Linked DNA regions of Alligator mississippiensis. The protein of the gene in region 4 interacts with the protein of the main gene of each other region in a biochemical or structural test. Links are inferred from orthologs where the notes say so. Each region holds a gene or a part of one and is shown on either strand. Other genes may lie near its edges.

Region 1 (7,222 bases), on a different chromosome or scaffold from region 4:
ATTAAGAGTTTGACCCGTGCTTTTTTATGAAAAAAGCATCATGGGATTGTTTTAACATATGATCAGAGCAGACAGGACCTATCATGTCATCTGAAACCCATGCACTGAGAGGAAATGGTCATGTACTTTGTGTACTAACCCACATAGCATGAAGTACTGAGTCCAGACCTCCAGATCTGTCTAGACCGATGGTGCTCAATCAGCAGCCCGTGAGGTCATGTGAGGCCTGTGGGCCTCACAATCTACCCTGTGAGGCCTTGTCTTCCAGCCCACAAGGCTCCCCAAAGGGCTAAAAATTTGCTGCTAGGGCAGGGGTGGGCAAAATACAACCCATGGGCCAGATCCGGCCTGTGGCTGCCCCCACATGGGGCCAAGTCTCATCCGCTCCAGCCAGGGTAGCCCGCGCAACACTCCTGCTGGCCTGGTCTCCAGCCAGCATGCAGCTTCCAGTGGGGCTGTTCCTAATGCAGTTGCAACTGGCTGGGTGCTGTTGTACTCCCTTTGCCTCCCAGTGACAAGCCTGCAAGCCTGTCTGCTTGCAGCCGCACTGGAAACAGCCCCACCAGAAGCTGTGCACTGACCCGGGTCCGGGCTGGGTGCAGGCCAGTGGGTGTGGGTGGGATCATGGCACAGGCTGTCCCAGGTGGGACTCGGCTCCATGTGGAGTGCTGTGGGGACAGCTGCTGACTGGGTGAGCTCTGCTGCATGCTTCCTTCCACCTCCCCTCACTCCCAGCTGGATCCCATGCAGCCTCCTCCACCCCATGCACATGCGTGCCAACCCTCTTGCTCCTGAACACTGGTCCCTGCCCACCCAAAGCCTCAGAGGGAGTTTTGGTGAGTTGTTGCATCAGGAGGTAGAGAAAGATGCTGACCCGACCTACAGCAGCTCATCAAAACTCCCTATGTGGCCCTCAGGCCCAAATAAATGCCCATCCGTGGTAGGGGGAGTGGTGACAGCTAAGCTTCCACTATCTAGCGGTGGGCTGGATAATGTGGCTCTGCCCCACTATGCGAGGTTGGTCTGTGGCTGGAACCAGGAATGCAGGCTTGCACCTACGCACCAACCCTATGCACTGACCATGTGTAGAATCTAGCCTGTGGTCTGGTTTGTGCCACTCCTCCAGCCCGTGAAAATTGGGCACTGGTGGTCTAGATCTATCAGTCTCAAAGCATCAGGTTTGATATAACTCAATCCCTCTGCCCAGGAGATTATCCCATAAATTTTGCCAAGGGCAACCACAGAATTCAGGGACATGGAAAGCCACTACATAAACATACTTCCAAAAAGACAGCTAAAACAGTTTTAGTAGCAGAGGGAAATAGAAAAAAAAAAAGGCCAAAAAACTCCTTATCATCTACCCAGTGAGCCCAGGCACCACTCTCTGTTGCCATATTGATGCGGCAGGACTAGGGATGAAGGTAGCCACTGCTGGCAGAAAGATGAGTTACAGAGAAATGACACCCACCCACCAAAAACAATAGACTTCTGTCCCTTTAAGCACCCTAGGGCTGACAAGGCTGCCTGCCCCTCTGCAACAGGGCTGGGAACCTGCCCAGGGAGAATCGTAGTATCGTAGATAAGTTGGGCCGGCAGGGACCTTCAGAGATCTAGACCAGTGGTTCTCAACCTTTTTTGTACCAGGACCCATTTGTAAACATTGATGGCCAGTCCTGATCAAATGTCTCTCACTCCTAAACCACTGGCTGCTGCCCCAGCGTGTATGGGGGGTGGGAAGGTGGGGCAAGCAGCCCCTCACAGGCTGGGACTTTGCCAGGCTGCAAGAGAAAAGCCGCGGTTTTCCACGTTTTTCTCCTTTAAAGTGCCATCATTTTTAAAGTTCGTTCAGAACCCTTTCATAAATTCTTGCAACCCACTTTTGGGTTGCAACCCACGGCTTGAGAAACACTGCTCTAGTTCAATCCACCTGCCTGAGGCAGGATCATCCTGATCCAACTTGCCCCACACAAGCCATAACCTAAGCTCTACATAAGATCACTGCCAACCCTTATGCAACACAGACCTAACACCTGACTTGCCACAGGTAAAGCAAGGGAACCGGCAGCTGGTGTCTTGCTTGTCTGAAACGTTATCAACATATGCTCAAGAGGTCCTGGGTAGAGGCCCACACCCCCTGCTGCAGAGCAAAGCAAAAACCTTGCCAGTCCGACCAATCTTCCCAGAGCAGGGTGGGGTGGGCTCAATGATCTTTAGAGTCCCTTCTAGCCCTTCATTTCTATGATTCCTATGAATCTGACCATGAGGTAAAACTCCTCCCTGACCTCCAACATGGCAATTGGTTTGACCCCGAACAGAGGGACCACCAAAAAACCATTTGCTATGGCATCTTGGCACCTGTGGGGGTGGCACCGCACCTTGGGGCGTGTTCTTGCAGCAGGGCTGGCGGTCCTCTTACGCAGGGTTTAGACTACAGTTTGGACGGGAGCGTGTGGCTAGGGCCCCTCTCCGCCTCCTCGCAGTGCCCACAGCCACCGGTTCCCTTCACCTGAGAGAGACTGGGAGACCCCTACACAGGGGACCCAGCCTCCCGGGGGAGGGGGGGGGGGGCGAGGGACCGCCCGTTGGCTGGTCACGCCCCAACCGTCCTGGAACCTCCGCCCGCGGGGGGAGGGGCGGTAGAACCCTCGCGGAGAGGGGGGGCCTCCGGCCGCGGCGCAGCGCAGGGGCCCTTGCCCTGGACGAGACCATTTCGCGGGGGAGGGGGGGAAATCTCTTTAGAAGCGGCATGAGCCAGTCCACCCCGCCGCGCCGGGGTGGGGGGGAGGAGAGAGGCAGGCCGCACTCACTGGAAAGCCGGGGCGGCGGTGCCCGCGAGGCGCCGGCTCTCCCAGGGCTTCGGGGGGGGCGGCTGCGACGCCATGTCTTGCCCTGAGCCGAGCGGAGCAGAGCGCAGCTGCCACCCGGCTGCAGAGCTCGCGGCCCAGCCAGGCCTGACGGGGGGAGCGTCGAGCTGGCCACTGCCGCAGTCGCTTGTGGGCAGTGCCGCGCCTCTCGATCCCGAGCTCTGGCTGCCTCTGCTCTGGCCTGCCCGGCGCCTGTTTCCGGGGGGGCGGGGTGAGGCGGGGCGCATGCGCGCGCACCCTGGCGCGAGGGCTGCGTGGTCCGCCAGCAGTGGCGGCTATTGCAGCCCCCGGAGGTAGGCGGCAACCCCGGCCTGGCGCGGGTTCGTGGCTGGCGCGGCGTGACCTTCGTACCCCGCCGTCCCCGCGCGCCGCGGCTTCGCTGCCACGTGGCCTGTGGAGCTTAGGGCTGAAGCTTGCAGTCCCGCGAAGGCGGGTGAGGCCCAGCTGGAAGCCTGTTAAATAATCCGAGCGCGCGCGCACAGACGTGCCCCCTCCTGCATAGGTGTGTACGTGCATGGGTGTGTAGGGTCGCGTGCATGCATGTACCGCTGTATGTGTGGGTGTGCGTGACTACGTATGTACATGTCTGTATGTGGCTATACGCCTACGTGGAGCATCTTGAGTGACGCGTATGCACACAGGGAGTATATATTGAGTGATCGTTCCTTCTGCACCTACAACACACGAGGTTATCCTTATATGTATATGTGTGTATATATGAAGATATCAAAACAAAATTCCATTTAAGATGTATAGATTTAGTTTATGTATAAACTATGATGTAGTTTATGTATATATGTATAAGTTATACGTGTGTGCGTGTGTATACAGTGATGGCCTTAGGGTTGTTGGGGCCCTGGGCAAGAAAGTCATTTGGGGCCTTTTTGAGGCTTAATTTTGATGACCTATAAGCAAGTTGGACATTTGTTGTAAAAGTTTGGGAGCCCCTAAAGTGCGGTCGCCCAGTTTGCCCTCCCCTAAGGCTGTGTGTGTGTGTGAACTAAAACTATACATTCTAGGCATTATAGGACATCTGTCTGTCTCCCAACACCACAGACTTGCACTGAGTGAGGCATCAGCTTGCTAAACAGCTGTCACAATTCTTGGGTGACAGTTCCTTCAGTTTCTCATGTGGTAAGTGCAGAAGGGACTGCCGCTCAAGAGCTCAGCTCTATGGCCACATTCAAAGATGTTCAATGAGTGGATGCCTCACTTAGCTCAGACCTATTGTCTCAGGAGACAGGTGCCTTATAATACCTACTATGTATAAATAATAGCTAGGGGTGCACCGATAAAGATTTTCTTGGCTGATACCAATAGCCAATGATTAAGCATGCATATTGGCCGATGCTGATCCCGTAACCAATATTTAATAATAATGCAAGGATTTTAAGCTACTGACATAAATGAACCCTTTTGTTTGTATTGCATTTTGCGCATGCATGCACACCTGCCTGCTCTGACCCTTGATGAGGAAGGCAGTGACCACCTTATTCCCACACGCATCACCCCTTCGCCCACAGCTCCTATCTGCAGGCCTGCTCCCTGAGCTGCAGTCCTAGATGGGCAGGATGGACTCTTGTGCAGACAGTAGTGCTGGATACATTGGGAGCTGTAGAGCAGTCTACTACCTCAGCACCACTGGGCCGCAAAGCCAAGCCTGCAAAGCCAAGCTCCTGCAGCTGCCAGGGAGAAGCCATTTTTGCAAAGATGCCTGGTACCCGGCAGAGCGGAATATTCCTCATGCGGTGCCTTACCCTGCCTGTGCACAGCCCAACGTCTCCATGGCAGTCCCGGTGCTTAGGTTTCTGCGGCATGCGCAGCATTGCCATGGCAGTGGCAGTAGCAGCAGGAGCCAGTAACAGTCCCTTTGTTGCTGAGCTTGGCACCCTGTGACCACCCGCCAGCACCCCCTCCCACTGCTCTCTGGGACCTGTAGTATGCTGCGGGCTTGAGCTGGCGGTGGGATGTAGGGACTGGATTGTGCTCACCAGGGTGCTCTGGACATGCAGCCATAATTATTGGCTACAGCGACCAAGAAAAGCCAATAGCTGATAATGTCATTTCTCTTTTTATCGGTGCCGATCCGCTAGCCAACCAGTATATTGGTGCCCCCCACCTAATGATATGCTATATAAACTCAAACTATACATCTTAAGTGTGGTTTTTTTTTTTTTCTTTTTACAAGAGGCAAGAATTTCTTAGGCTCATTTTTATTGGATCAACTATGCAGTTTAAATAAAGTTAGACAAGTTTTTGAATGCAAGACATTCTTTGCACATGCGCACACACTTTGTGTGTGTGTGTGTGTGTGTGTGTAAAGCATGAAATTTAAGGGGTATAGTTTTAGTTTTCTTTTAGATCATACACCTCTTTGGACAGTGATTCTCTCTCTCTCTCCAGCTGTCTATAGCAGCTAACATCATGGGGACTTAACCTTGATTGAGACACCTGGGTACCATTAATATAACTGCATAATAAATATAATTGGGAAGCCTTATAAAGTGGCATTTGGGAGCACTCTGAAACATAATTCACTTTTATATCCTTACTCAAAGAATCTCCTTTGCTTCTTTAATGCCTCCTTTCTTTCTCAGGCTAGTTGCAAGAGGTGATGTCCTCCTACAGATGATGGGAAAACAGCCTTGGGCTCTTCTGTCTGTCTCTCCCTTCTCTTGATTCTTCCTTTTGTGGATGGAGGCTACTTTGGTAGCTCAAAACAGAAGTGGCTGAGCTGGAGTCAGCCAGGCTGTGGTTATGAGCTTAAGCAAATGCCTTATTTGTGGCATCACTGGAAATCCAAGTGCTCCCTTTTTTAGATATTCCAAATTCTTGAAATCCCCTTAAATTCAGATGCCCACATATAAAAGAATAATTTTAGGAGAAAAGTCATTGTAGGAGAATTCTTGTTTTAAGCAAGTGACTTATTTTTAGGTGGTCATTGTTAGGCTTGGATGTCCTAAAACTCCCTTTATAAACAATGCTGCTGCACATGAAAAAACTCCACATCAGGAAAGTACTTGCATTTACAGGTACTACCCTGCTGCAGAGTTTATCAGTTTCCTGAGGCCTAATAGGGCTACGTGTGTGTATGTCAAGACTTTTACTGTAGAGTATATTAGGCAACTCTGCAGTAAATGTCTTGTGTAGATACACCCAGAATGAAGAATCATAGCTCTGGAGCAAGTCTGCCTAGCTGTCTCATTTGCTAGCCTCCAGCAAGCAGAGCTGTTTCCTTTTGGGTCAGTAGTCCTGTGCCTACATATTATACACAATTATTATAATGTGTATAATTGTCATAGATAATATATTATTTAGTGGAATAGATAGACCGTAGCAAACCAGTCATACTAATCTGAAGGTCTAGAACAGAGGTCTGCAACCTACAGCTCATGGACTGGATCTGGCTTGTGGAGCCCTGGCTTCAGCAGGGAGCTTTCCCTGCACTACACTGCAGTCAGGGCTTTGATGAAAGGGGAGGCTTCCCTGCACCACTGTTGCAGACTTGCAGCAGGGAGAAGCAGCAGAGGTAGTCAAGTCCTAGTACTGACTTGCCTCAGACCCAAGCTGGGTCATTTCCACATCTTCCTTCGCGCCCCCCCCCCCCCCCGAAAAAAAAAAAAAAAAGTTGCCAACCTGTGATCTAAAAGTTAGGGCATTGATCCCAAAGGTCCTATTCACATGAGTTTATCTTTCTATGGTTTGCAATGAATTAAGTTTATTTTAGAGGAGGTTGGTTTTAAAATAGCTTCTATTCTCTGAAAATTTATGTTTAGGAGGTAAATATTAAAATCACTTACTATCCATATTTGGCTTTTTTTTTTTTTTTTAGGGTTATCCAGCATGTCTTCACTGACAGAAAAGGACAGACCTGTTGCTCAGCTGTTACTGAATACTGGCACTTGCCCACGATGTGTTTTCAGATTCTGCTGTGTGGGATCACAGGAATCTTACAGGCGTCCACACAAGGTTTCCTGTTTTGTTTTTTAATTAAAATATAAGAACACGAAAGTGTGGGGCTTTTTTACACTTCTCTTGGACTTAATCTAGTTGCTCCAATATGCAACTTTATGAACGCCAGTCAGTTATTGGTGGTGTCAGTACTTGGATCTGCAGGCCTGAGAGGAAGAGGTTTAGCAGACTTAAGTTAAGGTAAAATCATTGCTTCTTATCTTCTACAATGTAGCTTTATTGATAGATGCATTGGAAGAATGCCACCATTTCAGTCAGTGGAGTGTGATTATTGAATCTGATCTTGAAAGATGTGAATGTTTTCTTCTCTGTGATAAATACAGAGTAACCGCCTCTGCATTTATCCATACCCATTTGTAATGCCATTTTATACTAAATGTTAATAC
Region 2 (7,825 bases), on a different chromosome or scaffold from region 4:
TTGTAACTTTTCTGTAGTTGTTTCATTTCTACCTATAGTTAAAAATGGAGATACTAAAACAGTATGACATAGATACTCATACTTACAAAGTACACATACACACTCATGATGCAATCCTATATCTACAGTTGAATTTAAATCTTTTTCTACATCTTGTAAAAGCGTGTGTGGTATTTATACAAAGTATCACCTTTCATATAGTCTATGGACCAAATTCCTGTCTACAGTGAAGCTCCTTTGCAGGTCTGTACCCCTTATGATGCCATCTTACACACCTGGAGAACAATGCCCAAGTCATAAGAGTTGCTCCTCACAATCCATGGAAGTTTAATTAATGTTTAACACCCAGAATGGTTTCTGTTCTTGGAACTTTATGAGCTGGGCAATGCTGGTGACTGATGTAGGGATTAAGTTTGCTAGTCTTACTCAGTCTCACTCCCATTTGCTCTGATGGGAGTTTTGCCTGAGTAAACCTATAGAACTGATATCTTGACCTGATTTTTAATAACATAGCAAGCTGGCTACAGAAAATGATAATTTATACCATTTACCTCAAACAGCTTAATGAATTGCATGTGAAGTAGGATATAAAACAATCTGGCTGAAATAACATAGTAGTGATGGGAAAGAAAAAACTTCTTAGTTTAGCTGCTGTTAATGCAGTGTGACACAGCTTCAGCAGAGCCTTGCCATTATAAACATGAGCTACTCATGTTGTATTATGAATAACGCTGACTGAAAAGAGCAGTGACACTGCAGGCCATTTTTCACTGTTCACTTCCGCATGAGGCAGAACTCCTCCCCCCCCCCCAAATCTCTCTTTCCCCCCCAAAAGATGTTCCTGCCAGAATTCGCATCAGATAAAATTAGGGCCTGCTCCTCAGCTAGCATTAAAACAACCAGCTACTTTTTACATAACCCTGATTGCTGGGGCACAGTGTTGCACTTCTGCTATTTTAAGGCTCTGCAGACACCACTTCTTGATTTAGCTACCAAAACCGTGGCAAAGGTCGCATTGCCTTCTGCCAAAAAGCAAAATTCACCTTTGCATCGCCTTGCAACACTGTTGCCTTTGCATGACATCATTTATGAGAGAGAGGATTTCAGCACCCTGAAAGCGCCTCTGCTTACACTTGTGAGGATAAGATTAATAAGAAAAAAATAAATAATAAATTTATTATTAAATAAATAGTAATTATGTAGCACTGGTGAGGCCACATTTGGAGTACTGTGTCCAGTTTTGGGCCCCCACTACACAAAGGATGTGGATAAATTGGAGAGACTGGCAGAAAGCAACAAAAATGGTGAGAGGGCTAGGGGACCTGACTTACAAGAGACTGAGGAAAATGGGCTTATTTATTTAGTTAGACTAAGAGGGGATTTAATAGCAGCCTTCAACTACCTGAAAGGAGGTTTGAAAGAGGATGGAGCTGGACTGTTCTCAGTGCTGGAAGATGACAGCACAAGAAGCAACAGTCTCAAGTTGCAGCAAGGGAGGTTTAGGTTAGATATTAGTGAGACTTTTCTCACTAGGAGGGTAGCAAAGCGCTGGACCAGGTTACCCAGAGAGGTGGCACAAGCTCCATCCTTTGGAGGTTTTATGACCCAGCTAGACAAAGCTTTGACTGGGCTGCTCTAGTCGGGGATGCTCCTGCTTTGAGCAGGGGGTTGGACTAAATGACCTCCTGAGGTCCCTCCCAACCCTCGTTTGCTATGAAATGAAAAAGAATGAATGAGAAGAGCCTGCCAGGGTTTAAAACAGAAGACATTAGGAGAAGCTCCGTTTGGAGGAGCCTCTCAGGGAGGATGAAAGAGCCGTGGTGCAGCTCAGAGTCAGCAACGGGGCCGGGGGGAGGAGGGGGGGGTGGATCCTACAAAGCTGCGGCAGTGCTGGGTACTGTTTTTTTTTTTACCAAAGCCAGAGCAAGCCGTAAACAGGCTTCGGAGTCAGAGGAATTCAAGCCGCTGGGGTGGAGGGAGGGGGCTGATGGGCAGCAGATCCTATCTGCCCGCGCTGCACCTGCACCAGCACCCGCACCCGCCGCGGGGGCCGGTGCGCGGCCGCCCTACCTTGTGGCCGCGGTAGAAGGCGATCTCCTCCACGTTGGCCAGGATGCGGGCGTGGACGTAGCGCAGGTAGCCCTTGCGCTGCGCCTCCTCGGCCACCAGCCTGCCGAAGCGGGGCGAGCAGGCTTTGAGCACCCTTGCCGTGGCGTACACCACGAGGCCGGCCAGCAGCGTGGGGCCCACCGGGCTGGCGCCCCGCTCGCGCGCCGTGCAGATGAGCGCGTAGGAGGTGAGCAGCACGTCCAGGATGGGCTTGGTGAGGTTTGAGTAGAGGTGCGCCACGGACTGCGCGAACAGCATGATGTCCTCGGTGAGCGACTGGTCGGGCGTGGGCAGGCGGCCGTCCATGCCGCTCACGCGGTAGTAGGTCTGGTGCGCGAAGTAGGTCTCGTAGGCGCGCTCCACCAGGCGCGTGCGGAGCGCCAGGGCCAGCTTGCCCTCCAAGTAGCGGATGGCGCTGTTGACGAAGGTGGCGGGCACGGCGATGAGCAGCCAGCGCAGGAGCTGCAGCGCGAAGCGGCGCGGCTGCTTCTCCACGATGCTCTTGACGATCTTGCCGTCCAGCCGCGCCACGTAGATGGAGAGGAAGGTGCGCGACACCAGCGCGGCCGAGTGCAGGCCCAGCCAGCCCGCCTCGCGCCCGGCCCCGCGCGGGAACAGCAGCCGCCGCAGCGCCAGCAGCTGCCGCACGAACTCCAAGTTGGCCGCCGGCGCCGCCCCCGGCCCCGTCCCCGGCCCCGTCCGCGGGGCGCCCCCGCCGCCCGCCTCGCCCAGGCGCCGGCGCAGCGCGGGGTACAGCAGCCGCAGCCCGCACGCCGCCGCCGCCAGCCACGCCGCCCGCCGCGCTGCGCCCCCGCGGCTCCACGGCCCGCGCCCGGCGGCGGCCGCCTGCGCCAGCGGGCTCATGGCGGGGCCGCTCCGGCTGCCAGCGCCTCCGGCTGCAGCACCCTCAGCCCCGCTCCGCTCCGCCCCGGCCCGGCCCGGCCCCGCTCCTCCCCGCTGCGCTCATTGGCCGCGGCCGCCGGGGGCGGGGGCGAGCGGGTCCCTCAGCCCGTCGCAGCCGCGGGCGCAAAGAGCCGGCGGGATAGGAACAGCATTCTTCCGAAAGAGCGTGCCCTGGGCGCGCCAGAGGCGGAAGCCCTGCCTCGCCTCGCCTGCATTGGGCTCGGTTGACCTGGCACGCGAAGCATTTTCCTTAAAAAAAAAAAGAAAAAGAAAAGATCCTGAGCGACTCTGGGTGCCACAACGCCGCTCCCACAGCCATTGCAGAGGTGTAGAGGGTGCACGGGCACCCCCTGCGAAAAGGCGCTGCCGACACTGCTTGCGGGCGGTCGCCGCTCGCCACCGGCACGGCCGGCGGCATCTGCAGGCGGTTCGCGATCCGCTGCCGCCGACAGCGCCCCCGCCGCCTCGTTGTGCCCCCCAGCCCCCAGGGGCACGCGGCATTCAGGCCCACAGCCACGGTTCTCCTGCCTTTTCCATTTCCTTCTCTCTGCCTGACTCCCTCTTCTTGTTCCCCATTTATTTCGAAGTCCAGTTTAGTCAGAGTATAGGATGTACCGGCCTATAATAGTGCCATGTGTCTAAGAAGCCCAGGGGCAGGGGAGCCTCCCCACTTCAGAGGAGCAAGAAAACTACATTTCACTTTAATACTGCTTTTATCTACACAACTTTAATATACAAAAACTATATACCACATCTTCATGTAACTCCTATCATGTTACAAACTTTACAAACAAAACAAATCAGCTGAGAGCAAAAACAATAAAGACATTACTTTGAACTTGAACCTGCTGAACCCCATCAATTCTGAAATGACAGGTTTACAGGAGGACCTGAATGGTCATGTCATATAACCCCCACATTGACCCCCAGAGATAGAGCAGGAGAAAAGAAAAAACATTCAAAAAAGGTTGAAGCTTTTTCACTAGTTTAAAAAGCAAAGCAGTGAAGCAACAGTATGGATGTGACAACATAACGGGTTCCTACATTTGGTGGAGATAAGAAAGAACTTGGAGTTTGGAAAAAGTGTTACTAGAAATACACAAGAGTACCGAACCTCGGCATCACAGACTTGCCTGGAAGATGTTTATTAACATAAGGCTGCTGAATGGGATTCAAACTAACTGTTCTGTAAATCAGGTTGGGCAGAGCTCAACTAGTTCATAGTCTTGTTATAAAACAACCTCTATACGCAGAGAGCAGTTGTGACATTTAGTGAGCAACTCTCCTGTTTCAGACAGGAAACACAATCTTGTGCTACTCCTGCAGCAGCTGAGCAGCAGTCTCCTGAAAATAAGGCCTAAAACCAGACAAGTTCTAACATATGAGCTACACTTCTCCTTTCCCCTAGGAGGATGTTTTTCCATCTCCACTTTCAGTGTGTAGCTCTTGTTGATTAAAAGGCTTAGGTAAAACAGATGGGAGCATAACAGTGATGGAACTGTAGCTGTTTAAATACCTGCAGCTTTCAGTATTGTCAGGGGATCCTAGAGGCTTGGGTAGATGCCTTTTTCACATCTTTTGGGATTTTTGCTGTACAAATCAAAATAAAATAAAATTATAGCTTAGAAAATAGTTCTATTGACATTTGAGATAGAACAGAGTGCAGTAACTCTTCTTTGGTCAAACTGAGCCAGTTGCACTAGCAATTATTTTGTCAGTAAACAAAGCAGATTGCATATGATTTAAAAATACACAGGCACTAAGTATGAGGAGTTAAAAGTGCCTTGTTTAGGCAGTCACTTAAAGTTACTTTTAAAAAAATTGCAGTTTTCATTTAGTTCCATTTCCATCCTTATACTGTTTTATGCCTTAGTCACAATATCTCTTGCAGCTGATATGCCAAACCGCACTGACTTGCAACATTCCACTGCCCTAGCACTTTTTTAAAAGGGGGAAAGTTCATAGATCCCTATTTCACTTCTGCATATCTGCTGACTCTTAGCTGTACAAGAGCCAGGGAGACTGAAGCTCATAGTGAGTTGGTATCGGCAAGAGCAAACACACGTGGCAAGGTCAGGCCTGTAGGGGTATTAAATGAAACAAAAATTACCTGAATATGCAGTGCTGTAATCAGAGCAATATCTTTTCTTCCTTTGAAAAACACGAGAAAAGTCTGAATTGCTGTTTTAATTGCATTCTTTTTTCCTCCTCTTGGTGCCCTGTTTTTCGCTTTGCTACTGTCCATCTTCTTAGTCCATAAACAAATTACTCTTTGTGGAACATAGCTTTCATTCGTAGAACTGATGACTAGTAATGACTGGTGAGATCAGTGCATCAAAACATAATACAGTAATATTCAGGTACTGCTGATGAAATACTGACCAAAACTCAGTAAAAGTGATATCCTTAAGATAAAGGCTATGCCCAATTTCTACTAACCGGGTACAGTTACATGAGACCTTTACCGCGGAGTTGCCCAATTAGCTCTGCAGTAAACATCTCAGCATCTACACGTGTGGCCCTATTAGGCCACAGGAAACTAACAAACTCTGCAGCAAGTTAGTACTGGTAAACACAAGTTTTAATCTGCTGTGGAGTTTTTTCATGCGCAGCAACACACGTGTAGATGCTGATCCAGCTGGCTGCCACACTGGATCACACTCGTGCCCCAGCCAGCCCCTCAGCACGTTGAGCCGGGTCAGAGCAGCCCTAGAGCCCACACATCTCCTGCCAGCCAGGGCTGCTCTGACCTGGTTCAATCTGCTGTGGTTCCAGGCACACATTCAAATGGGGCACCTAGGATCAATAAACTCCCATGCAATAAACTCCCATGTATCTGGGACGTAGCGGAGAGGATCCCAAAGCTTATCTGGCCCTCCGACCACTACACTATGCTCCTTATCCATGTGGCCATGAATGACATGTCTCAGAGCAATCCCAGCCGGGTCATGAGAGACTACAGGGCTCTGGGAGCGGGGCTTAGGGGGTTGGGGGTGCAGGTGTTTTTTTCCTCACTCCTCTTGGTTGTGGGTCATGGACTGAGGAGGGACTGACGGATCAAGGTAGTCAACCAAAGACTGCAGTGCTGGTGTCATCGTGAAGGCTTTGCCTTCCACGATCACAGTCTGCTCTTTAGTGAGAGAGGCGGTGGTCTGCTGGGGAGAGACAACCTCCACCTCACTCCACTGGGGAGGAGGCTCTTCTCAGCCCGATGGCTGGGAAATTGGCTCTGAGGTCGGACCCAGAGAGGTAGTAGTTGATGGAAGTGAATCATTATGGCACTCTGTGACCCGTGGTGTCCCCCAAGGCTCTGTCCTTGGACCAGTTCTCTTTAACATCTTTATCAACGATGTGGACATTGGAGTCAGAAGCATACTGGCCAAATTCACCGATGACGCTAAACTTTGAGGCATAGCGTCCACACCTGAGGACAGGCTAGTGAACCAGGCTGACTTGGGTAAGATTAGAAAGTGGGTGGATATAAAACTGATGACATTCAATACCGAAAAATGCAAGGTACTCCACCTTGGGGGGAAAAAACCTGCAGCACGCTTATAGGCTTGGCAGTGCTATGTTCACTAGCACCATGGCTGAAAGAGACATGGGGGTCATGGTTGATCACAAGATGAACATGAGCCATCAATGCAACATCGCAGCTGGTAAAGCAAACAAAACTCTGGCTTGCATCCATAGATGCTTCTCACGTAAATCTCAGGATGTCATCCTCCTGCTGTACTCAGCCTTGGTGAGGCTGCAGCTGGAGTACTGCATCCAATGCTGGGCTCCACAATTCAAGAAGGAGGTTGAGAAGCTTGAGAGAGTCCAGAGGAGAGCCATGCGCGTAATCAGAGGGCAAGAGAATAGGCCTTATAAAGAGAGGCTGAAAGCCATGGGACTCTCCAGCCTGGAAAAGCATAGGCTCAGGGGTGACCTGGTGGCTGCCTATAAGTACATAAGGGGTGTACATCAGGATTTGGGAGGATGTCTGTTCACCAGAGCGCCCCAAGGGACCAATGATCATAAACAGGAATTGGAATGTGGGATGAAGGAAGTATATCCAAGGATATACTTTTCAGGAGTTTTAAAACACCTTTGATATGATATTATAATATATTCTTTACTGTGGTCATTTAAATTATAAAATCATGTAAAATTTCCTAAATTTAAGGCAATAGTTCAATTATGTGGTTTTCTACAGATTAGTTCTGAGATCTAATGGAGGTTGTAATATCAGAGAGTGGGGTTTCTGGAAAAGTTGTTGCAGCCTTGGAACTCATAGGTATGGCTTCATGGGATATGAAATTAAAATAAAAGGTGAATTTAAAATAAATGTGAGCTATCTGTCCCATAGCCTAGGTATTTTGGTCAATCAACATTGAAAATACTTTTAAATTTTAAAAATAATTTAATATACAACTATAAATGAAGTAAGTATATTTCATATACTCATGTCTGTTTGTATGCATAAAATACACGTACACAGAGCAATGATTTCAGTGTGATTTGAGAAAGTTTGGTGTCTCTTATGTAACTGGTCCTTTTATGTCTACTTAAAATAAGTATTTATTTTGCTCTTTCTTTTTAGTGTTAGCTAATAAATTATGTGTCATCTTCATTTTGGAGGACTTTTTAGTTTTTCTGTTGCTCTTATGTATGCTAAGTATCAGGATCTTAGATTGTACAAACATTCAGAGATTCAGAGATGCTAGGGTTGGAAGGGACCTCAACAGATCATCGAGTCTGACCCCCTGTCTGGGCAGAAAAGAGTGCTGGGGTCAGATGACCCCAGACAGATGCCTATCCAGCCTTCTCT
Region 3 (7,359 bases), on a different chromosome or scaffold from region 4:
CCACACAGTCTCCCCAGCTCCCCCCATCTTGCACTGTGCTGTCTCCTAAACTGCCCCCCTCCAACTCTGAGCAGACTCCCCAGCATCTTTCCTCCCTGCACTCCCCACCACTGTGTGGTCTTCCCCATGCCCCCCCACTGCACAAGCCACCTCAACCTGATATAAGTATATCAGGGGTGTGCATCTGGATCTGGGAGAATATCTGTCCACCTGGGCACCAAGGAAAGACGAGGTCCAATGGTCACAAATTGCTGGAAGACAAGTTTTTGCTTATGCCCAATCTAAAATACTTTACGTCTGAGTCTCCAGAGTCTGAAACAGACTCCCTCCAGAAGCGGTGCAAGCATCTGACCCCAAATGACTTCCTGCCCTTTGCGCAGGGGGCTGGACTCAATGATCTCATGAAGTCCCTTCCAGCCTTAATGTCTATGAAATCTATGAAACCCACTCTGGCCCCAGCAAGGCAGCAGCTCCAACCATGGCCCTCAAATACAATACAAGACCCATCTCCCCACATTAAATGGGGAAAAATCTTCATCTTGGATTTGAGTAAATATAGTATATAATAAAGTTAGAGTGGGCACTATGAAATTATGTTCCAATAATGCTTCAAATAATTCTTTAATATTTCTTCAAGCTTCATATCATACTATTCCTAAAACACGGCCTAGGCCAGATATATGATACAATCTCTGGTCAGGGAAGTGAGGAAGTGGGGTTTGTGACCAAAGCTGTGTTGGCAAAAATGGACAGCATTGATGCGTTTCTATTGTACATTTTATTTTAATACACTGGAAAGAGCAGGGTAGGGTATGAAAAAAGTGCCAAGAAAAGGGCAGATTTATTGGTATAAGTCACACCCACAATAAAAGTGTTTTGCTGGTACAGTAACTGGTATAACTATCCCACTGAATCGACCCCAGTATGAGCCTGTCCTCACACTTCATGTTGTTCCCCAAACAGAATGTTGAAACCAGACCTTTTCAAAGGGTAAAATTCACTTTTACCTGCAGAGAGACAATGTAATCAAGCAATCAAGTAATTAGGAGAAGGAAACAGGCCAGACTACAAGGTGAAGGGTAGCCATTGCTCCTTACTCAGATTCTATACACTGTGACCCACTGCCCCTTCTAGATAAGACCTGTTCACAACCTGCAAAGAGCTTTCTTCCTGACAAGCTGTGATAAGAAATTCTCTAGCCCAAGGCTCAGCAACATTTTCTGGCAGCAGGCTAGAATCACCCAGCTCGGATCCAAAGCTAGGATCCTGCTGCTACCACAACTTCTCCCCCGGCCACTTTTTTGCCACTTAGCTGCAGTGTAGCACAGGCAGAGTCCCTGCTCCACTGAATGCCAGTGAGTTCCCAGTCCATGAGCTTTGTGGGTTGACAACCCCTGATCTAGCCCATCTGCTTGCTCTACTCCCCAGAACCCACATCCTGCAGAAGAGCACCACAAGATTTAGATGGTACACAGGGCTTTGGATGATTTGTATCACTATTAACATGGTAAACCCATGTGTATTTCATTATGACAAGCAAGCCCCAACTGAACAGAATAAAAAAAAGAAAAAACTTGATAAAAGGACTACCCCTGCTCCAAGTATAGCTACATTAACGATATGATTCAGCAAATTAGTATAACATAGGCTGATGGGGTGGAGGGAGGATGAGGCAACACTAATAAGAGGATATGTACGTAGGCTAGTGATGCAAGAACTGTTGTTCACCATCTGCCAGGCTTTTAACAGGTAGGGTACTCTAAGTTTCATAGCCAGCGGCTGATAAAATGCTGCAGGGAAGAAACAGCCACCAATGAAGGAAGGTGACAAACTGACAAGCAATGAAGACTGCTTTGGCAGAAGCAGCGTGTAAAATGGATTTGAGGAAGGCAAGGATCCAAAAAATGAGATTACAGTAGCCACGATGCAAGAAAAAACTGGACATGGAGAAAGGGCTAGATGAGGGTCAGATTATTTTGATTCAAAATTGCTTTTGAATGATCTAAAAACTGCCTTTTAAAGCAAGAACTCTCTCCTTTCCTCACCCAACCACATATGCCATTCTACTCAACATTTAAGAGCAGCTCCTGGGACTGTCCAGGGGCCCACAGGACCAAAAAAGACCACTGCTCATCTGTGTCATGCCCTTCACTGGCCGCACGCACCGGGGATTGGTGCCTGAGTGCCCGATCTTCTAGCATACAGGGCCATGCTATCTGGCCCACGGAAGTGCTGCACAGGCCTGGAAATTTGGCAGCAGGGGAGCAGCAAACTTTCCCCATCACCAAATTTTCAAACTTGTGGGCAGCCCCACAGGCCAAAAAAAGAGGCTCTGGGAGCTGGGTCTGGCCCACAGGCTGAGCAACCCCCCGTCTAGAGCGAGTAACCTCCAATTAAAAAATGTACTGTTGAGATTAAACTGCCTGGCTGTTATTTTCTTCAATTCAGCCAAGCGCCCCAAAAGCCACACAATGGGTACACGCAGGCTCTTGTCCTGACTGCTTTCACGCAAACCAGCGCCCACATCTTGAGGTGCTGTTCAGCCCCGGGGACCTGTTCCTGCTCGTTGTTCCTGCTCACTGCTTTTCTTAGCTTATCGTTTGGGCAGCAAAAACGGGGGGGGGGGGGCGGGAGGTGGGAAGAGGCCGAGCTCCATCCTCCCCGATGTGTCCCGGGGGTTTAAGACCACCCCCCGGCCCGCAGGGGCGAGGGCCGCGCTGCCCAGCACTGCCGCGCCTGCAGCACTTCCCCCTGGGGCACTGCGGGCAGCGCCGGGGGCAGGGCAGGGCCCGGGATGGGGCCGGGGTCCAGGCGCTGCCCGCCCCGCGCGAGCGCTCACCCGTGCTGCGCAGCCTCCTGGCGCCGCTTGTTGAGGAGGCAGAGCAGGGCGCAGGCGGCCGCGGTAGCGCCGGCCATGGTGGAGTAGCGCACGGTCAGGTACTTGCTGTAGGCCGCCATGCTGGAGCGCCGCACAGCCGGCTCGCCGAGCCGAGCCGAGCCGAGCCGAGGCGGGCGGCGCGCGGGGGATGCCGGGAGCCGCCCGGCGATTGCGACAGCAGCGCCCGCCCCCGGGCCCGGGGCCAGGGGAGGGCCGGGCCGGGCCGGGCCGGGCGGCGGGAAGCCTCGGACAACAGACGGCGCCTCGGGGAGAGCTGTCACCTGTCACCAAGGTGAAGGTTGTCCCTCACCCGAGGGCTGGTCCTGCTCACAGGCCTGCAGCGCCCTGGTACAAGGTGGGGATTAAAAGCTTTTTCAGCATTTTGCTGCAAGTTTGTTAAGTGATGCTCTGACTTGTGAGGAGGAGGGGACTTTTCATCCAGTCCCACATGACGTGCTCACAGGTGACCTGGAGAAACGCAGACCCGATAACATGACGCTGAGGTGGAGAGGTGACTGGTCCTGTACCCGCCAGCGAAGGGCAAGGCCGAATGGGCAAGGGTCGGACCGGGAGGTGTCCCACAGCGGTCCGGGGTCCTCTGCTAGCGAGCGATGCCCGAGCAAAGAGCTTCCTGATCAAGCTGGCAGATGACACCGCACTGGGAAGGACTGGGAACACAGTGGAGGATAGGAGTAGCGTTCAGACGGCTCTTGATAGCTTGGGCTGGAGACAACAGAAGGAAGTTCAGTGCAGACAGACGTAAGATGCTGCAGCTGGGGAAGAATGATTAAATAAACAATGGGAGATAACTAGGTGGGTGGCAGCCTTCCCAGTCTTGCTAGGAAGAATCTAGGGCAATGATTTTCAGCCTTTTTAAGACTTGAGGTGCCCCTTGGAGAATGCCAGCTCTTAGTTTTCACTTGTTTTTTTTACTACAAATAAAAAAACAGAGCAATTTGTTTGTTGCAAAGAAGCCAGAAAGACCACAACAGGCCTGAATGGTTTTGACACTGTGGATTCGTATTTGGAACCTGAGTTTACCTTGTGACTCCTGCGTGCATATCCAACCATGCTAATATCGTGTGGCACTCTGGCTACGAATCACTGATACAGAAGTTTTGATGGATCACAGACTCGAGTCATCAACGTGGCACAATTACAAAATTTTGTACCATATCAACAGGAGTATTAAGTGTAAGACATGAGAGGTAGGAGTACCACTCTACCTGGTATTGGTTATATCAGAATACTGTGTTCAGTCCACATTTTAAGAAGAATATGGAGAAGTTAGGGTTTCAGAGGCAGGTGACAAAAATGATAAAGGGGTTAGGAGGCAGGCCATATGGGGAAAGCTTAGAGAAAAGGAGATTAAGTGGGGACTTGATAGCAATCTTCAAATATTTGAAAGGCTGCCATAAAAAAGTGAAAATGACTGTTCACCCTTGCCCCAGAGGACAGGACACAAATCAATAGCTTTAAATTGCAGCAAAGTAGATTCAGATTAGATATCAGGAAAAATTTCCTCATTGTTAGAATACTAAGGCAGTGCAATAGACTGCACAGGGGTACTGGACAACGGGGATACAAGCACTGATCAGGAATAGCCTCGGAGTAGCATTCTGGCATTTGTACAGGGGTCCAGACAGATTAACCCTTGAGGTCCCTTCCAACCCTATAATTCTATGACATACCCGAAGCGGATACCATCAGAGTATCAGCTAACTAGTTAGTTGAAGAAATGGTTTGTGTGGACACAGTTGCAGCAGTGTAGATGTGCTTTATAACTCTATAACTACTTTCTTATAGAAAAGAGAAAAACTCTACCAGTGTATCAGGTCTACATGAGAAAAGTTTTGCTTGTATCACTATACTAGCAAATACTCTTAGTATAGATGCAGTTATGCTATCAAAAAGTGTTTTGCTGGTGGAGGTTATGTCAATCTGAAAACCAAAAAAAGTGATACCAGCAAAAGCAGTTACTGCACTACAGCTATTTACTGGTTGTGAAATATCGCCAAACTCAAATTCCTTGCCAACATTTTTAAGCTGGCAATGCTTTCAGTGTACCTATATAACTTAGACCACAGTAGAACTTTCACTGGTATAATTATTTCAAAGTGGGAAAGGAAATTGCATCCTCTCACCAAAATAGTTACAGTAGTGTAGAACAGGCCCTTGCTAGGATCCAGTGAGGATGTGGTGGTGTAATTGCATTCACTTCCAGCTGTTATACATGAACTCTCAGTGTGGAGTGTGCCGAGACCTCCTGCTTTCATGTGGCTTCAGGGCCCAGAGTGTAAGTGCTACTGCCCACCTCTCTACCCTGCTGCTGAAATCAGAGGGGAGGGTAAGAGAAAGGAAAGGCTAACAGCAGTAGCAGTCCCCCAGGCTCCAGAGCCCTACAAAAATGGTGACTCTGGCCAGACCCTGTCCTCACTGGTTATATGGGGCTCCAGTAGGCACTCATACTGACCAGGCAGTGAGCTCAGAACTCATTGCACAGGCCATGGCACTGCCAAATTAGGTGACTGCATTCTCCCTTGGCCCCTTCTTGAATATGCTTCTGCTAGAATTGGCTTATCAACTTTTCTTGGGGAGAGAGGGGGAGTGTTCATATGCAGACTTACTTTGAAATAGCTGCATGGCTTTCAGTTCACACCTTTGCAAGTCAGCATGTAGACTAACCCTCAGACAGATAACCCTGGAAAGCCTCACTACAGAATTTGCCCTGAGTAGATGAACCAGTTGCTCTATTCTAGTTGCAGCATACACACACTTGCCCTTTACTTTTAGAAAAATCTACTCAATTCCCTTCCCCAGCTGGCATACTATAGGAATTTGCACTGGATGCAAAAGAAAGTACTAGGAAGAGGTAAAAGCAATCACATGCCCAAGAGTGCTTCCATTGTTTCCATTCCCCCAGTTTTCTAGGCTTCTCTGTCATTCTTCAGTATGAATGATATAGTGCATCTGCCTTTTGCTTCTCTTGCATTATCAGGCACCATACACTCTCTTGGGAAATTTAAGATGACCCAGTCCCTAGAGTTTCAGAGCATCGTTATTATATAAAATTAAAGTTGACAGAGAGAGAGGGCATACATTTTTTAGATTATTTCTAGAGTATTGGATTCTGAGTATTAGATTCATGTCCTTTCCCCCCACCCCAACTTTATATGTGACTTTAGGTAAGTCAGAAAACTCACAATGATTCAGTGTTTACATATGTTAAATTAAGATCACAGACGTGCTTTGAGGAATAAATAGAGTTGGAGTGTTGTTATAGCCATAACTAGCAAATTGCCTCTCATGAATGATGGGGAGGGAGCAGGCAGGGATGGAGCGCTGCAGCCACTCTGCCTCCGGCCCTGTGGCCCCCCCCACCCCCTGTGTCCCCCATCCTCTGCTCCTGTTTGTCTGCTGGAGTGGGGCGTGGCCGCCCCTTGGATGTGGCGGCAAGGCTGGAGCAGAGAGCCGAGGCCAGTGCTGCACTGCCAGCACCCTGCGCTGCCGCCGCCTCCAAGGAGCAGGGCCAGGGGGCAGACCAGCACTACTGGCCTCACCCCCCTACTTCGGCCCCTCAGTTTCTGCCAGCATGGTGACGCTGTGCCGTGTGTGTCTGTCTGTGCAGAGCACTCTGATCGGTTGTTTTAGTCAGCATTGTGATTGGCTGCCGAGACAACCAGTCAGAGCATGAATAAAGCATAATGGACAGACAGACAGACAGACAGACACACTAAGGTTTTTTATTATATTAGAATGAAAATGCTGGAGAAGCAAGGATTTTTTGTGATATTTTTTATTGGACCAAGTGTATACAGTAGTTGGGAGAGCTGAAGAACAGCCCTTGATGCCCAAAAGCTTGTCCACCAGCTCTCCCAACTGTAGAGGTGGTCCAATAAAAGATATCACAAAAAATGCTTGCTCTAAGATCCTCAGAAGAAAAATGCGACAGATATGCAAAATATTGTTAGTAAATTCATGCGCATCAAGGTTTTATTCTCTTTTGCTGAGTAGACCACATGCATTACTTACACATTTATACTTAGACCTCATAGCAACAGATACATTTTGTAGGAACATAAATAAGGGCAGTTCCATCATTTTAAGTCAAATAATTTGCATCATTTAAATTGTGAAAAAAGGAGTGCTGTTCTGATTCCAAGGGTTCACTGAAGCTTTACAAGTAAACTGCTGCTGCTTTTCATCTCAGGTCATCTTTGCAGACATACAGAGTGTAGTGTCACCTTTCATTCCTTTCCAGGCTTGTTTATCCAGTAAGTCCAGCTTGGCCATGGTCCCCTGTGCCCCAGTATCTAACCGTCTAGTTGGCTGCCAGCCTCTAGGGCAGACTGACCATGGCTGTGTTTGCATGATTTTCTTTGGCATTCTGTCATCTGTTTGTCTTCTGCAATAACCCAACTATTATGGTCTTCTGAGGCATAACTACTAGGGCCTGTGCCCTCGGGAGCAGCAGTGGCAGG
Region 4 (7,172 bases):
AGGAATCTGAGCTCAGCCCAGACCCTGCCACAGATGGATCCTAATGCATTTACCACAATGGGAAATATTTCTGGGGACACTTGTTGGCCCACCATGTTTGGAAGTCATGAACTTTACCCCAAGCACCTGCCAATTACTGAGCTTGACTGGACTGGGGCAGCTGTCATTGGACTCATCTTTCAACATGTGCCCCAGCAAATCGGAGGTGTAAATGCAAGACACAAGGGCATCCAGAGCCTGCTTCTGAGGCTGGCAATAAAACCAGTCAACTGCAATGACATGAGATTGAAGAGAAGTGGCTACTGAGCTACTGAGGTGCCTGGCTCCAGAACCAGACCATCCCACCCACCCACAGTTTCACAGTTGATAGGGTCGGAAGGGACCTGAGGAGATCATCTAGTCCGACGCCCTGCCATGGCAGGAAAGAGTGCTGGGGTCAAATGATCCCGGCCAGATGTTCCTTCAGCCTCCTTTTAAAGACCCCCAGGGTAGGAGCCAGCACCACTTCTTTTGGAAGCTGGTTCCAGGTCCTAGCCGCCCTGACAGTGAAATAGTGCTTCCTAATGTCTAGCCTGAAACTACCCTCCGCTAGCTTGTGTCCGCTGTTTCTTGTAACTCCCAGGATTGCTTGGGGGACCAGGGACTCTCCCAATGCCTGCTGGTCCTCCTTGACTAGTTTGCAGACTGCCGCCAGATCCCCTCTCAGCTTTCTCTTTTGGAGGCTGAACAGGTTCAGGTCCCTCAGTCTCTCCTCATAGGGCCTGCTCTGCTGACCCCTGATCATGCAGGTGGCCCTCCTTTGGACCCTCTCCATATTGGCCACATCCCTCCTGAAGTGCGGCGCCCAGAACTGGATGCAGTACTCCAGCTGTGGCCTGACCAGTGTCGCATAGAGGGGGAGGATCACCTCCTTGGCCCTGCTCGTGATGCATCTGTGGATGCACGACAAGGTACGGTTGGCCTTCCTGACCGCATCCCCACACTGTCAGCCCATGTTCATTTTGGCATCAATAATGACTCCAAGATCCTTTTCTATCTCAACACAGGTGAGAAGGGAGTTCCCCAGGCTGCAGGTGTGCTGCTGGTTCTTCCTCCCCAGGTGCAGCACCCTGGACTTGTCAGTGTTGAACCCCATCTTGTTCTCTTCGGCCCACCCCTGTAACCTGTCTAGATCTGCTTGCAGCCTGTTCCTTCCTACTAGTGTACCCACTTCACCCCACATCTTAGTGTCATCTGCGAACTTGAACAGGGTGCTTTCTACCCCCTTGCACAAGTCACTGATGAAGATGCTGAATAGTGCGCAACTGTCCCTGCACAACTGGGTGGGAGAAAATGCTACGTGTTCCCAGTTCAACAACTCTGCCCAAGCTTAAGACAAGGGAAATACTTCCCCGTACCCTTCCAGCCCATACAGCCATGGGTGGTCACTGCTCTTACTTTGGCAGCATCGTTAGGAGACTTCTCAGCACTGCTGGCATCTCCTGCTCCGGCAGTCGCTGGGGGTGGTGGGGCCGGCTTGGTCTTGTCAAAGTCATCAAGAGCACCTTCAGGGCAAAAGCAGAGAGCTCAGATGAGGGGATAAGACCACACAGGTCCCAGACAAGGGGGAGATAAGGGAAGTCAGACCAAGGCCACAACACCAGGGCAGTCCTGAGCAGCATGACATGGAGGAAGCCAGCCAAGACGTTTGCAGTTCACTACATGTCTTTGGATGTCACGTATAGAGCCATACTCTGCACCAGCGCCCAGCCAGTCCCTCGCACTGCTCTCCAAGCTAAGGGGATTCAGACCTGCTGCGGATGAGATGCAGCTTCAACTGGGGACAGAGGGATGTGAGCACACCGTCACCGACCTACGGGTGACATAACTGTTCCTTCAGTCGCACCAGCTGCATTTGAGCCTGAGCTGCCCAGTCGTAACTGCAGCCATCCCTGCACAACGTTCCCGAGTGAGGGGTGGTGAAAGGATTCAACTGGCTCCGAGTGAATACGACACAGCATTTGCGAGAGGATGCGACAGCCCCTGACCTCCACGGGGACTGCCCCGTGCTCTGAAATCCCACTCCTACTTTTAAATCAAGCTCTTCAGGCTCAGGCTGGCACCCCCGAAAAGGCCGCTGCAGAAGCCGGGACCCAGGCGGCTCAGCATCCCAACAGCCAAGGCGGGAGGAGCTGGCACGGCCACACGGCAGCTCCACTCCCCTCCCGAAGCACTTGGGCCCCTATTGCTTCGCTGGGGGGTGCTGGTCTCCGGGGACCTCTGGGTTCAAATGCTGCTGGCAGTCAGCGCCTTAAAGCCAGGTTCAGCTGCAGCACCTGGAAACGCCGACTGCTGCACCCACAGGAGGGGTTTGCCTTTCGGATGCTGGCGTCTGCTCTAGACCTCTGAGAGGCCCGTCGGACACCCCCTGCACACGGCTGACCAGGGCAGTGCTCCCAAGAGGCGCCATCGTGGAAACCGTGTCACACACACACACACACACACACACACACACGTGCCATTTGCACCTCTGCAAAGAGCCGTGTTTTTTAACCCGCGGCACGTGCGCGTGCCAAGAAGGGAACGTCTCTGATGTCGTGACAACGTCAGAGGCTGGCGTCTCTCCCATATGGCAACAAAACAAAGGCACAACAATTGCCTAGAGAAGACAGGGGGTGAATAGCTGCGGGGGGGGGGGGGGTGCAAAGAGGATGGGACCGCAGGGAGAACAACACAACCCTCTTCCTCGCGGGCCGGGCAGCCGAGCCGTGCCGTGCCGTGCCGTGCCGGGAGGGGGCACAAAGACCCGGCTCGGGGGAGGAGAAGGAGGCCCCTTCCCGCCCCGCTCCCGCACCCGGCGGCCCCCGCATGTGAAGAAGGAAGTTCCCGCAACCCTGAGCCCCGGCTCCGCCCGGCCTTACTGTCCAGCAGGTCGTCCAGCTCCCGGTCCGGCCCCGCCGCCGCCATCTTGCCGCTGCCTCCCCAGCTGGGCGGAGCTACCGCAGACCCCGCCCCCCGCCTCGTTCTGAGCTCGGCCGGCTTCCTGCGCCCGTGTGGGTGGGATGCGGCCCCGCGTGCGGCGCGCGTGCGCCCCTGGTGGGCGGGGGCGGCGCTGCCTGGGCTGACCCGCTCCGGGCGTCCAGCTCTGCGCAGTCCGCAGCCTCGGTTGCGCTTCTTGCGCTTTACTTCTTGCCCTGTCCGCTGGACTAGGCGCAGCGCTGTACAACGTTTCGAGTTGCAACGTTTCCCACCTACAACGTTTATAAACGGACGCCCTGTTTCAACTTCTGACCTCAGTTGCGACTTTATGGCACTTGATCCGACACGACGCCACGCCGGCGAACAAGTTCACTGCGTCGCTCAACTCATCTGTGCAAACTTCCTTGGACTCTTTCTTTAAGAAAGCAGGTGAGACTCCAGAAAAACCTGCCGCCGGGACTCCTGAGAAGACACAGCAGCCGAGAACCCTTCAAAAAGTCCAGCAAAGTCACCTCAAAGAAGTCCTTCCAAGTCCATGTGAATCCTATTAACCATGTACATGCACTACAGGCTTAAGTACCACCAGCAAATTTTTCATACACATAGGTAACAGGCTGTGTATTAATACAACATCAAAACCTTTAGTAATCATAAAACATTGTTTTACCGGTTACGGTAGCCATATAAAACAATTGTAAATTGGAAAAAAAGACGGTGTAAACCAGGGGTAGGCAACGTTTTCGGCCAGGGCACTGAAAAAAACTGCTTTGTGTATGCTGTAAGGTGCCAGAGTGCCGACACCCCAGAAAAACAAACCTGGGGTGGGGGCTGCATGGCAGGACACACTGCAGATTAATATAGTTAATAATCATAAATGTGGCTGCTTCTTCTTTTTTTTTTTTTACAGTAAATAGCAGGTTTTCTCAAAATTCTAAACCTGGTGACAATAAATAAAACCTCATGTGCTACCTTTGTTCTTGTGTCTTCTTTTTTGTTAAGCACATTGTGATGAGAGAGAAGGAAGAGAGAAGAGAGATGGGGGAGAGAGAGAGGAGAAAGAAAGAGAAGAGAGAGAGGGAGGGAAGAGAGAGATGGAGAAAAAAAAGAGAAGGGAGAGGCATGGGGAGAGCAGGTGTTGGGGGGGACAGGGGAGGCAGTGCAGTCAGGCTGGCCTGGCTGGCCCTTGGGAAGGCTGCAGCCAGATGAGCAGGGGCCAGGTGGGGAGCAGGGGCTCCCCTGGGGCTCCACCGACTCGGGCTGCAGGGGGGATGCTCAGCAGTACCGGAGGTGGGGCCCAGCCCAGGCTGTGCAGCCCCACGGGGATGGGTCACAGCCACCCTGCCCACAAGGGAACGCTGCCTGGCCGGGGCAGGACACCAGGCTCGGGGTTCTCCTGGCTTGGGCTCTGTGCATGCCAGGTGCAGCACAAGTTGGACAGAGCCCCCTGGGCCACAGCATGGACTCCGTGGGCTCCGGAAATAGCCGCTGCAGGCAGTGCTCAGAGCTGAGCCGCCTGGGAGCCTGCAGTGCAGCCGCCCCCGCGCAGCACCTGCCCTGGCCCCAGCCCCTTGAGGGCAGTTGCAGGTGGGCAGGGCCAGGGCTCAGGCAGGCTGGGGCAGCTGCAGGCAGCTGTTCCCAGGTGCTCCCGTGGCCAGGCCCTTGCAGCAGGGATGGCTCTGCCCTGCTCGCACTGTGCCCAGTGTGCAGGGAGGCCAAGCCCAGAGCTGAAAGCCCCCCTGAGCCAGGTGGCATCCCCTCGTGGAGCTGCACGGGCCCAGCCAGGCCCCACCTTCGGTGTCGCTCTGCACCCCCACCCGCCTGCCACAGTCAGCCTGCAGAGCTCAGCGTCATATCCCAAGCCCATTTTTATCTTGCCTGGGATGACATAGGCTTTGCCGGGGCATCAGGGAGACTCCCACCTGTGTGCACCCCAGGTTAGGCACAGGGGCTACCTGCCCCCCCAGATTTATATGTGGGGTGGGGGCAGCTGCTGCTGCATGCTGGGGTCTGAACATGGGGAGCCGCACACGACACCACGTGCCTTCTGTGGCCGGGCAGCCAGCGCATGGAAGGCAAGTGCAATCCTCTGTGATCGTTCAGGAAATGCTCTAGTGTCTTGTAGCCGTATGTGGTGCTCTATCCCTATGGCCAACCCCATGTCTCATTCGTGGAGCAAGAAGACCTTGGGCATAGCACTAAGTTTCTGCTGTAATGGAGCCTTGCACTCCAGGGGCACCAGTGAGCCTCCAAAATAAACCTGGGCGAGGTCCAACTCTCCTCCTTCAGTGGGACACAGTGGCAGCAGGGCCTGCTGATACCCCTCACTCCTGACCTGCAGCCCCCTGCCCCCCCAAGCCCTGCTGCCCCCGAAGAACCCCTCCGCTCCCTTCCCCCACTCTGCTGCAGACCCAGCACTGGCAAGCACGCCCACGCACACATGCACACACACACACGCACACCCTCTCTCTCTCTCAGCATGTGTGGGCACACACACACACACACACACACACACACACACACACACACATGCTTTCTCTCTCTCAGCTGCCTGCGGCTGCATGTGATGCCCTGCCTCCAATCACCTTTCCCCGCTGTCCCCAGCAACTCCTTTGCTGGGGCAGAGGTAAAGCAAAATCCTGGACATTTGCTGATATTTTAAAAAAACACCCAGATGGGGGCATCCAAAAAGTGGACATGTCCAGGAAAACCCAGACGTATGGTAAACCTTCACAAACATTTATTTACAATTTCTAAATCCAAGAATATAAACAGTCTAGGCTGGGGGCAGGCCACACATGACCCCCTGGAAGTCCCCTGGCATGGGCTGGGCAGTGCGCAGAGACCCTCGGTCCTTGGGGCCTGGCTTCATCAAGCCCACGCACTCCACACCTAGGCAGTATTTCTCGGGTGGGCTGGTGGCTCTGGAAACAGGAAAAAAACTAGTAAGAGCCCAGACCACTGCCATGGAGCAAGACATGGTACAGGGCCACCTGCCATGGCATCTCCATCTGTGCCAGGGCCCAAAGCCAGCCCCAAGGGGCTCAGCAACACATCTGGCACCTTGGCCCCCCGGGACCAGGGCTGACTTGTGACAACAGGTGACGGCTGAGCCCAGCTGGAGGGACTCTGCTCTGGCTTTGCTCCCATGGGGACAGCCAGCCCCCAGTGAGCACGGGAGCATGGAGGGCAGAAACGAGGCTCAGAGTAGGTGGCAGGAAGGGCAGCTTGGTGCAGCACCCAGTAAGGTGAACTGCCTCCCGCCCTCCCAACCAGCTCCCACCACTGGCCTGGCCAGTCCTGCTGCAGCCGTCCTGCCCTTAGCCCAGGGCCTGGGCCCCCTGCCCTGCTCCCGCACCAGCTGGCAAGTCTCAGGGGCTCAGCTTGCCCTAGGACATGGCAAAGGGAGAGACAGCATGAGTTGTGCCAGATGTGGTGGGCGACGCCCCAAGACCAGCACCCCTGCAAGCACCCACAGTCCAGCCCCTACATAGTCCCACCCTCACCGGAGCTCCTCTATCCTCTGCCTCTTGAGCTGGGCAATGTGGTCAGCATGCCACTGTCTCTCTTTCTGTAGATGCTTCTTGTCCTCAAAGGAGACAACCCGCTCACATGCCAGCTTCTCCTGATACTTCTGCATCTGGTGCTGAATGTCCTTGGCATCCACCATTCTCTGGGTCGCCCACTTCTCCTGCTGCCTCTGCTCCTTCAGTGCCTGCTCCCTGGGGGAAATGCCAGTGCTGGTGATAGGGGCCAGCCCAGGCTGGAAAGACCATGACCTTCCTGCTGGGGCTGGCCCACCCCCTCCCGCATACATGGGGTCCTATGTCTACCCGAGCCAGGTTGTCTCCACTGCAGCTTGTGCACCCCAGGCTCAGCCAGAGCTGCAGAGGGCAAGCCTGATGTGCCCTAGCTTAGTTCCCCCACAGGCACACTCTCCAGGGCCTGCAACCCCACTGTCATCCTGGGGCCAGGCCACGCCTCGCACTACCTGAGGATCTGCTGGAAAGAGCTGCGGTTCTGCTGTGCCTGTATGACCGAGGCACGCTCCAAGTGGCTCTGCTTCAGCATGGCCTCCATCTCTCTGTACAGCCACTCCGTCTCCTTGGCCTCCTGATGCTGCTTGACCCGGAGAGCATCCTGCCAGGAGGGAAGCATTGATTGCACTGCCCAGGCAGCAAGAAGCCAGGTGGAGATTCTGCTCCTGCTGCCCCAGG

What was found.
Region 1: the proteins of PEX19 (region 4) and PEX13 form a complex in vitro, tested with the Homo sapiens proteins (2 studies listed by BioGRID and IntAct, with this or other methods). The link is inferred for Alligator mississippiensis from reciprocal best matches to the Homo sapiens genes PEX19 and PEX13.
Region 2: the proteins of PEX19 (region 4) and ABCD2 form a complex in vitro, tested with the Homo sapiens proteins (3 studies listed by BioGRID and IntAct, with this or other methods). The link is inferred for Alligator mississippiensis from reciprocal best matches to the Homo sapiens genes PEX19 and ABCD2.
Region 3: the proteins of PEX19 (region 4) and ABCD3 form a complex in vitro, tested with the Homo sapiens proteins (4 studies listed by BioGRID and IntAct, with this or other methods). The link is inferred for Alligator mississippiensis from reciprocal best matches to the Homo sapiens genes PEX19 and ABCD3.

What each region holds. Positions count from the first base shown.
Region 1 is NC_081824.1:211,841,219-211,848,440, reverse strand, and holds the start of PEX13 (peroxisome biogenesis factor 13), read right to left. Parts: upstream 3,013-7,222; 5' UTR 2,882-3,012; coding exon 2,808-2,881; intron 1-2,807. Other genes in the region: tRNA pseudouridine synthase Pus10, read left to right, coding at 6,708-6,833. UniProt on the Homo sapiens protein: Component of the PEX13-PEX14 docking complex, a translocon channel that specifically mediates the import of peroxisomal cargo proteins bound to PEX5 receptor.
Region 2 is NC_081827.1:29,209,090-29,216,914, reverse strand, and holds the start of ABCD2 (ATP-binding cassette sub-family D member 2), read right to left. Parts: upstream 3,011-7,825; 5' UTR 2,974-3,010; coding exon 2,071-2,973; intron 33-2,070; coding exon 1-32.
Region 3 is NC_081828.1:34,237,270-34,244,628, reverse strand, and holds the start of ABCD3 (ATP-binding cassette sub-family D member 3), read right to left. Parts: upstream 3,013-7,359; 5' UTR 2,959-3,012; coding exon 2,840-2,958; intron 1-2,839. UniProt on the Homo sapiens protein: Broad substrate specificity ATP-dependent transporter of the ATP-binding cassette (ABC) family that catalyzes the transport of long-chain fatty acids (LCFA)-CoA, dicarboxylic acids-CoA, long-branched-chain fatty acids-CoA and bile acids from the cytosol to the peroxisome lumen for beta-oxydation.
Region 4 is NC_081838.1:21,135,358-21,142,529, forward strand, and holds the start of PEX19 (peroxisomal biogenesis factor 19), read right to left. Parts: upstream 3,005-7,172; 5' UTR 2,947-3,004; coding exon 2,901-2,946; intron 1,545-2,900; coding exon 1,438-1,544; intron 1-1,437. Other genes in the region: cilia- and flagella-associated protein 45, read right to left, coding at 5,732-5,879, 6,462-6,677, 6,947-7,172. UniProt on the Homo sapiens protein: Necessary for early peroxisomal biogenesis. Acts both as a cytosolic chaperone and as an import receptor for peroxisomal membrane proteins (PMPs).